Linked DNA regions of Cricetulus griseus. The protein of the gene in region 1 purifies or fractionates together with the protein of each later gene. This does not show direct contact. Links are inferred from orthologs where the notes say so. Each region holds a gene or a part of one and is shown in the gene's direction. Other genes may lie near its edges.

Region 1 (3,948 bases):
ATTTAATGCATTCTTGCTCATGAGTGGCTTGGGACTTGGGAGTTGATTTTTCTTCTGAGTTGGGGCATGGAACCCTAGGCCAAGGCATCTATTGGGCAGGCCCTTACACATGAGCAAATACCCAGATGTGTCCCATAACTTCCCTAAGGGTTAGGGGGTTTTAAAATCTCTACCTACCTCCTGGAAGTATGTTTAAGTACTTGGGGGCTACAAGCCAGGCAGAGCAGTGATGACTCCAACATGCCATCTGAGGTGCAGTGCTGAAATCCAGAGGCTGTTTCTGAGCTGTGCCTGGCACTGTGCTCCATGAGGAGGCATCCTAGGACTCAAATATGAATCAGCAGGCTTGACAAATGACTTTACCAACTGTTCTGTTGATCCAGAAGTATAGGTTTGCCAGAGAGTGCTGTTGCCCCACTTAGGGTAGTTATCTGTAGTCCTCTTACTTACCTTGCATCTTCTGTAGGATGAGAGTCATTCAGAATGGGTGTCTTGTGTCCGCTTCTCCCCGAACAGTAGCAACCCTATCATCGTCTCCTGTGGATGGGACAAGCTGGTCAAGGTGAGCTTCAACAATGGCCTGGCCCCATTAGAAATCTAAAAATGTTCCCATTCCTCTGAGATGGTAATCACTCCGGTTTGGAATGTTTTGCAAATTAAATTACCTTGGCTTTGGCTCTTGATGCTTTATCTAAGTTCATTAGGGATTGAGTTTGTTTTTGAGGCCAGATCTCACTCTGTATCTCTGATAGGCCTGTGTCAGCCACTCAAATATTGGGATTACATGCGCTTGCATAAAAACCTGTTATGAGTTACCTTTAAGGAAGATGCTATTCTTTCTTGTGGCCATAATCCTGGTCACTCACCTTTTTCCCTAGGTATGGAACTTGGCTAACTGCAAGCTGAAGACCAACCACATTGGCCACACTGGCTATCTGAACACAGTGACAGTCTCTCCAGATGGATCCCTCTGTGCTTCTGGAGGCAAGGTATTTAGGGGACCTCTGATCTTTATTTATGGAGAACACTTTCATCTGATAGCATGTACCAGTTAAAAGATGAGCTTAAAATGTGGGAATGTTTCTAAGGATTATCATAAAATATATAGAAAGGCATACCAAAGAAATTTTCCTTTAAAACTAAGTTGGTAGCTGAATAGATGGCTCTGGGATTAAGAGCACTGACTGTTCTCCCAGAGGTCCTGAGTTCAATTCCTAACAACTACATGGTGGCTCAAGACCATCTAATAAGATCTAGTGTCCTCTTCTGGATTAGGGCTACACACAGGCAAAACACACTGTATACATAAATAAAAGTAAGTTGATATACGTATTATACATTACAGGGAAGGTCTTAGGACCATGAACGCTGACACTTCAACCATTAGCTTTATCTATCCTAACTCACCATTTATGTCCGTCCAGGATGGCCAGGCTATGCTGTGGGATCTCAATGAAGGCAAGCACCTTTACACACTAGATGGTGGGGACATCATCAATGCCTTGTGCTTCAGCCCCAACCGCTACTGGCTCTGTGCTGCCACAGGCCCCAGTATCAAGATTTGGGTAAGTGATCTGTTGTGCACCACATTGATTTCAAGCTTTATTGGTAGATTCATCATTCAGCTGCTGTCAGTTGACAAGTTGGGATTATTTTTTCTTAACACTTAGCAGCACTGGGCAACATTTGACTAATAAAAGGGAATGCCCATATTTGGCAATTTGTTGAGTCATTTGGGCCAAAGTAATTCTCCTTTGAGAGGCTATTTTGTCAGCATATGTGGTATCTACTCACTAGATGACCATTAACAGTTACAGCCACACACCATGAAAGATAAGCAAAAATAATCCCAGTAGTGTGTAGCAGGTAGTAGAGCACTTAGCTAATGCATGAGAGGCATAAATCAAATCCCTACCACATGTGCCACTAGTATCAACTAAAAGACTGGGGATTCTATGTGGTATTTTTATGTTTTGGACAGTGTGTAACCCAGGCTGACCTTACATTTATGAGGAGTCATCTTGACTAAGTTACATGGTCAGATCTAGAACTTGGCAGTCTGCCTCAGCCTTCCAAGTAGCTCCAATTGTATAACTAAACCACTGGCCCTCTAAATGATTGTGGGTTGCTAGGGTGGGGGTTGATATTTCATATGTCCTTGAAAGAAAAAATAATCTGGAAATCTGAATTAGAAATAGGCTTTCCAAGTAGTTCATTACTGTCTGTGGTACAGGATAACTGGCCCATAGCCAGGGAATTCTGTCTCCTCCATAGTTTGAGGAATAAACTGTTTTAGGTGTCAAGCAAAGGCCCTTTAATTTGCCATCTTAAGGTCTCCATTTAAAAAAAAAAAAGCTATGGTATGACAACATACTACAGACCATAAAAGTCCATTGCATAATTGTTATGGGCATCCTTACCTGATTTTGGTTTGTTTTCAGGATTTGGAGGGCAAGATCATTGTAGATGAATTGAAGCAGGAAGTTATCAGCACCAGCAGCAAGGCAGAGCCACCCCAGTGTACCTCCCTGGCATGGTCTGCTGATGGCCAGGTAAGTACTTGATTCTGCCAACTCAGCTTCCAGCTTACTCTTCATATCACGGGCATAAGACTAATATATTAGCAGGGCAGTGGTGGCGCACACCTTTAATCCCAGCACTCGTGAGGCAGAGGCAGGAGGATCTCTGTGAGTTCAAGGCCAGCCTGGTCTACAGAGCTAGTTCCAGGACAGCCTCCAAAGCCATAGAGAAACCCTGTCTCGAAAAAAAACAAACAAACAAAAAGACTATTATATTAACAAATGAAATGATAAAGGGTGACTAGTTACAGAAAATACTATAATCTATCTGGGGAATGATTCATGATTTGGACCTCTAGAAGAGGCTTCAAAAGTATAGCAAGCTGTTTCTTCTGGGAATGTGTGCTGAGCATGTCTTAGACAAGTTCTTTGTTTGGGGGCCATACAATTCATTGTTGGGCATGACCCTGTTGCCATTCTCTTTTACAGACTCTGTTTGCCGGTTACACAGACAACCTGGTTCGAGTGTGGCAAGTGACTATTGGCACCCGCTAAAAGTTTATGACAGAGTCTTAGAAATAAAGTGGCTTTCTGAAATCTTTTCAGTTATGGTTTGTCTAGTGAGCAAGTTCCTAACTTGCCCGCCTACCCACCCTTCTCCCATTTGTTGTGTTTTGCTTGCATACATGTCTATGCCAGGGAATATTAGGGTGATGGGAAACTTTGGGACATTCAACATGGCACTGTCTGTCCTAAACTCAGGCCCACCTATGTTTGCCTTCCTCAATGGTGTATCTATCCTTCTTGGTTGCACTTCATTCTAGCAATAGCAGCAGAATAGTTTTTTCCAAGGCAGGGTTTCTCTGCCCAGTTTGAATTTAGCCCCATCTACTTGGATCTACGTATAACATTTAGTCCTTACTAAGTAAGCTACATGAATAAGGACCTCCCATTCCTCACTGAAACAGGAAACCCTAGGAATGCATAAAGAACCAGAAATTCAGGGTTGATTGTATGCTCCTGACAGCTAAGAAGCAGTTCCAGGGCTTCTATGGGAAAGTACTTCATGAAGCAAAATTGCTGCTTCAAAAGAAAGACTCCACAACAGCAGCAAATAAACACTTTATTATCTGCAACACAACCCACCTTTTACCCCAAGAACATGAATTGACCTCAGCCACAAGCAGAGGACAAAAGCTGTTAGGTGACAGAAGGCAAGGGGTTACTAGAAAAATAGATTATACCCAAGGCTCTCCCAAGGATCCAGACCCCTGTCCCAAGCTCCTTAACAGGGCTTACCAAATGGAACTACAAGGTGCTGAGAGGCCAGAAACTGAAATTCACTGAGGGGAAAAGAGCCTGGCAGTGAAGACTTGGAGGGGTTAGGTGTGAGGAGCTGGGCTCCTAAATAAAAACTGTACGACAGAGA
Region 2 (5,081 bases), about 57 Mb from region 1:
CACCGAAAAGAGGGTGTGTACGTGCCAAGGTCTGTGCCCACAATTTCTTCGAATTCGCAGAGGCTTTTAGCAGCATTTTGTTAACAAGCTTTAGTGTGCTGGGGAATAATACCCCCACCCCTCCAACCGCTGGGGAGTAAAACCTCGCAAATGCTAAGCACAAGATCAACCCGGAGAGTCTTGGAGGATTTTCTTTTGTACACCAAATATTGTTCGGGGTAGGCAGAAGTCCCCAAACTCAGAAATGCTGACACTGGAGGCTTTGGAAAGAGAACGTACAGAGTGGGGGTGGGGAGTTAATCAACAGACCTCCATTTCTGACAGGACAAGGGCAGCAAGAAGCAGGTACTTCAGGGAGCAAGGCGTGTGTGTGTGCGTGTGTGTTGGGGGTGGGAGTAGTCACCTGGGCCAGGTGTGTGTTGGGTGTTTGGGGGGCAGGTACTTCAGGGAGCAAGGCGTGTGTGTGTGTGTGTGTGTTGTGTGTGTGTGTGTGTGTGTGTGTGTGTGTGTGTGTGGTGGGGGTGGGGGTAGTCACCTGGGCCAGGTGTCCGCACGCCCGAAGCAAAAGGGAGGGGTAGAGAGCGTGCGGCTTGTCTTGCAGCGAGAAAGCAGATGCCTGCGGGATGCTCGCAGAGGTCTGTAGCGGGCTCATGGTCGCCTCCTACTTCCTGCGCCCTGGTCGCCTACGAGCCACTCTGGACATCCCCCTCCTCTCTGCCCGGAGCCAGCGTGGCGCCTGCCTTCTACCTTGTCCCGCCGCCTGGGGTCGCAGCCCTGTGGGAACAGGACAGTTGGAACGCCGTAGGCACTGCCCCCACCTTCCCGGGGGCCTTCCTCCCGGCCCGGGCGCGCATCCACGCCCCACCCGGAGTCTGCAACTTGGCTCCTGGGAGTTACCTGCCGGGGGAAGTCACAGTCCGCAGTTTGGACTCTAACCGGTAGATCCTACGGGGCCCAAAGCCACATTCCTAGGGGAGGGGTCCTCCGACCTAGAGGGTCGCGGATCACATTACCCAGCGAGGGGAGACGGCGTGAGGCTGAGTAGACTGGGGGTAAAAGTTGCATTTAGCTTAAACCTTCCCAAACCCCAATCGCGCTTCGCCGGCGGGTTGACTAGGCGGCGTTCGCGGAGTTCCTGGAATCCGGCGGCCCCAGAGTGGCTTCCCAGGATAGAGGCACTGTCCCCGCGCGCGGGTGCGACGTCCGTGGCGGATGCCCCGGGGTGGGAAGCGCGAACGTTAGCAAGGACCCGGAGCTGGGGGACCGCTCGCAGCCGTGCTCATGCTTGCGTCTTTGCATCCCTGCATGCATCCATGCATCCGCCAGCGGCTCGCACGCCACCCGCGCCCAGGACACCCCGCGGTGATTGAATGCAGAAGTGGGGCGTCTGCGTGCCAGGGCAGGATCGCGGCGGGGCAGACAGCAGCTCGAGTCGGGGGTAGGGGGAGACCCGGGCAGGGAGAAAAGAGAGCACCCCAAAGGCACAGTTGGAAATCCCGGGGCGCGCGCTCGGGGGAGGGGGGGGATATGTTCCCCGCGAAGTCCCGCAGGCGCTGAAGGGGGCCGGGCGGGCCTCTGGGGCCAACTTTCCGGAGGGAGGTGCGGCCGGAGGGGGCGGCGCCGGCGGCAGGAGGCGGGAGTCGGGGGCCGAGGGGGGGAGTCACTTTAAAGGCTCTTTCTTACCCATAATGCTTTGTGGGGACGTTGACAAGTGGATCCAAGATGGCGTAGAAAGTAATGACAGGTAAGTCCTGACTTCCCCGTTCTCCGCTGCCCGGGTCGCTTCAGGAGCCTCCAGAGCCATCCGGGAAGAGGCCTGGACTCCCCTCGGGCGCTCCGGGCCCCGGACAGCGCGGCCCCGGGGACAGCGGGGGGTCCCGACGGCCGGCGGCAGGGCCTGGGGAGCGGGGCTCTCTCTGAGGCGAGGCCCGGACGCTGGAGCTGTTTACTGCTCCTTCCCCTCCTCAGTCTCCTTTCCCTTCCGCTGGGGGGCTGAGGCGCCAGCCGTCCAGGCGGCGACCCGGGGGTCCGTGCACACGCCCGAGGTTCGGGGCGACCCGGGAGCCCGCGCGAGGGTGCTCGGGCACGGGCCGCCCCGGAGTCCCCGCACGCCCAGCGCCCCCGGGGTCGCGGCTTAGGGTGGGGAGCGGGCGGCCTCCCAAGCCGCGCGCGGTGCAGCCCTCCGGGTTAGCACTTCCACCTGGGGTGGGGCGGCGACCCCGGGGAAGGGGACACTACGAAAAGTGGGTCAGGGGGGCGCCCCAGAGCCCATGATTCACTGTGGTCCCCCCTCTCCCCGCCCCCCTCCTGGGACGTGCGTGGCCCGTGAGCACATCTACGAAAACAAAACCACTATCTCTTCTTCCTGGAGAAAGTGGCCTCCAAAGGCCGGCTTCTCTCTCTCTCTCTCTCTGCCTCTGTGTGTGTGTCTCTCTCTCCCTCTTTCCAAGGGCTGGGACGCCCAGTCTTGGGAACTTTGATTTCTCTTCCCCAAACAATTTGAGTCTTGTGCCCCCTGGGCTTTGCAGAGGGTCCTTTCAGACAGGGCTGGAAGCCAGAGTCTTCAGATTCCTTTTGGGTTGGGAACCTTGTAAGTTTTTGTTGAACTCAGAAATTGGCATTCTTTCTCCCTTGCAAACTACACTTTTCAGGCAAGCCATTAATATAATCAAAAGTGTAGCTCCAGAGATAGTGGATTCCCGGAGCAGGGGAAGAAGGGAGACGTTATCTGGCCTAGTTTGTTCTTGGTTTTGCCCTCTTCACTCATATGCATAGCCTTTCCCCCATCCTTTACTTTTCCTCCCCCTTTTATTTTTGAAAGCAAGATTAATCAGTGCTGAAAAGATGACTTTATTATGTTTAAGATTTAAGAACATTTGTAATCTGTTACTGAAAGAAAATATTTTCAATTTTAGGTAAAAGAAACAGTCCTCCTCCTCCAAAGCTTCATACTGTACAATTTTTGTTAACTTTTTCCACTTGATATCTCCATGTTCTTTTACCTCAGGGTGATAAAATGTTTGCTACTGATAATGCCTCCAACTGGTATTGTATAGATATTCTGCTTTTCTGTTTGCCCCAGGAATTGGATGAAGTAATTGATCACTAATGAACTACCGTGCTGGTGAGATGGGCAAGGTGAGACTGAAGTTAAAAACTATGCCCTGTTTTCCCTCTTTATTGTCACCAACTCAAGGGTAAGACAGCCGCTACTTTCCAAGCAGATCAGTCAGCCAATTGGGATACAGGCAGGGATAGAGTTAGCAAAGTTGTACCGTCCTTTTTAGTGGCTCCAATTTATTCACACATAGTAGAGCTTGTCTAGAGCCAAATGTTATTTGTGGCTATCCTTGATCAGTGTCTTCTCCAGGAGTAATTATAGTTTGCCTCTTCAAATTTCCTTGTGTAACTTTAATTGGATGGTCTGGTTTTTATCTGTTTTGATGTCCACACTGAGTATAAGCACTTGAGTAGATAAAGTTCACACACCCACAGTTTGTGGGACTTTTGGGAAGAAAGACTGTTTCCATTGGAAATAATAATTTTCAGCAAGCAAATCACTTCTGTTATTATTTTTGAATTTAGTTTTTTTGTTTTGTGGTGCTGGTATATACGAGACCTGTGTGTTTACACGTAGTAGACAAGTGCAGAATGATTGAGCTACATCCCCAGCCCCTTTTATTTTCTGAAAAACTGAATAGTAAATGTCAGATAGAACTTTGAAACAGAAATGATAGTGTTAAATTCTGTGTTGCTTATTGGGGATGTGACTACTCTGTCATCATTTCTGGTTCTATATGGTGTGTAAGTTCAAATTATTGTTTATCCCATGGACTTTTTTTTTTCTGGACCGGTCTTTACTACTGACCTTGATCCCAAGTGCTGGGATGCTACCATGCCTGGCTTACTGACGTGGATTTAAAGGACTTATATGTTAGTGAACAGTTTGTACCGTGTACCAGGGAGAAGAAATAAGCTTGCTGTTTATAGTTTTCAACCAGTTTCTCAAATTAAGATACCTCTGGTTGCTTTAGAACAGTAGTTCTCAACCTGTGGGTCCAGATCCCTGTGGGGGTCCAGATCCCTGTGGGGGTCCAGATCCCTGTGGGGGTGCAGATCCCTGTGGGGGTCCAGATCCCTGTGGGGGTGCAGATCCCTGTGGGGTGCATAACAGATATCCTACATGTCAGATATTTACATTACAGTTCCTAACAGTAGCAAAATTAGTGCTATGAAGTAGCAATGAAATAATACTGTTTTTGAGACAGGGTTTCTCTGTGGCTTTGGAGTCTGCCCCGGAACTTACTCTATAGACTAGGCTGGCCTTGACCTTCCAGAGAACAGCCTGCCTCTGCCTCCTGAGTCCTGAGATTAAAGTGTGTGCCACTGATGCTTAGCTTTTTTGGGCAGGGGCAATGAAATAATTTTATGGTTGGGATTGCCACAACATGAGGAACTGTATTAAGGGTTGCCCCATTAGGAAGGTTGAGAGCTACTGTTGTAGGAAAATAATAACTATGGCCAATTGATTTATTGCAGATTTGTTTATTATTTTAACCCCTTAACATATTTGGCTATCTAGATTTTGAAATACAAACTTTTCATATTACATTTTTTATTTTTTTTAAAGAATAAGCTGTGTTCCCCAATCCCTCAAGATTGATGCATATAGTTGATAGTTTGCCTTTGAAATGCAACAAAAGGAGTATGGACTTGGGAAAGGGAAGTGGACATAGACCAAGATTCTTTTAGCACATAACACTTCTATTTGTGTTGAAACACAGCTGAGCTTATTTTAATTTTAATTTTTGGCAGAGCAAGTACAGACTTTTTTTTTTTTTTGGTTTTTCAAGATAGGGTTTCTCTGTGTAGCTTTGGAGCCTATCCTGGCACTCACTCTGGAGACCAGGATAGCCTCGAACTCACAGAGATCCGCGTGCCTCTGCCTCCTGAGTGCTGGGATTAAAGGCGTGCGCCACCAATGCCCGGCTGCAAGTACAGACTTTTAAATTTATTTTGATTATGTGGATGGAGGCATATTCTTGTCTTAGACCTCCCAGTTGTAACTCTTCCTCTTGTCT

Evidence for each region. The genes of interacting proteins can lie anywhere in the genome.
Region 2: the proteins of Rack1 (region 1) and Helz purify together in Homo sapiens (affinity purification with mass spectrometry; 3 studies listed by BioGRID and IntAct, counting the BioPlex papers as one, with this or other methods). This does not show direct contact. The link is inferred for Cricetulus griseus from reciprocal best matches to the Homo sapiens genes RACK1 and HELZ.

What each region holds. Positions count from the first base shown.
Region 1 is NC_048600.1:63,460,800-63,464,747, forward strand, and holds the end of Rack1 (receptor of activated protein C kinase 1), read left to right. Parts: intron 1-220; exon of another isoform or gene 221-288; intron 289-466; coding exon 467-562; intron 563-878; coding exon 879-989; intron 990-1,424; coding exon 1,425-1,565; intron 1,566-2,441; coding exon 2,442-2,552; intron 2,553-3,008; coding exon 3,009-3,074; 3' UTR 3,075-3,120; downstream 3,121-3,948. UniProt on the Homo sapiens protein: Scaffolding protein involved in the recruitment, assembly and/or regulation of a variety of signaling molecules. Interacts with a wide variety of proteins and plays a role in many cellular processes.
Region 2 is NC_048600.1:120,530,504-120,535,584, forward strand, and holds the start of Helz (probable helicase with zinc finger domain), read left to right. Parts: upstream 1-1,659; 5' UTR 1,660-1,744; intron 1,745-3,082; 5' UTR 3,083-3,138; intron 3,139-5,081. UniProt on the Homo sapiens protein: May act as a helicase that plays a role in RNA metabolism in multiple tissues and organs within the developing embryo.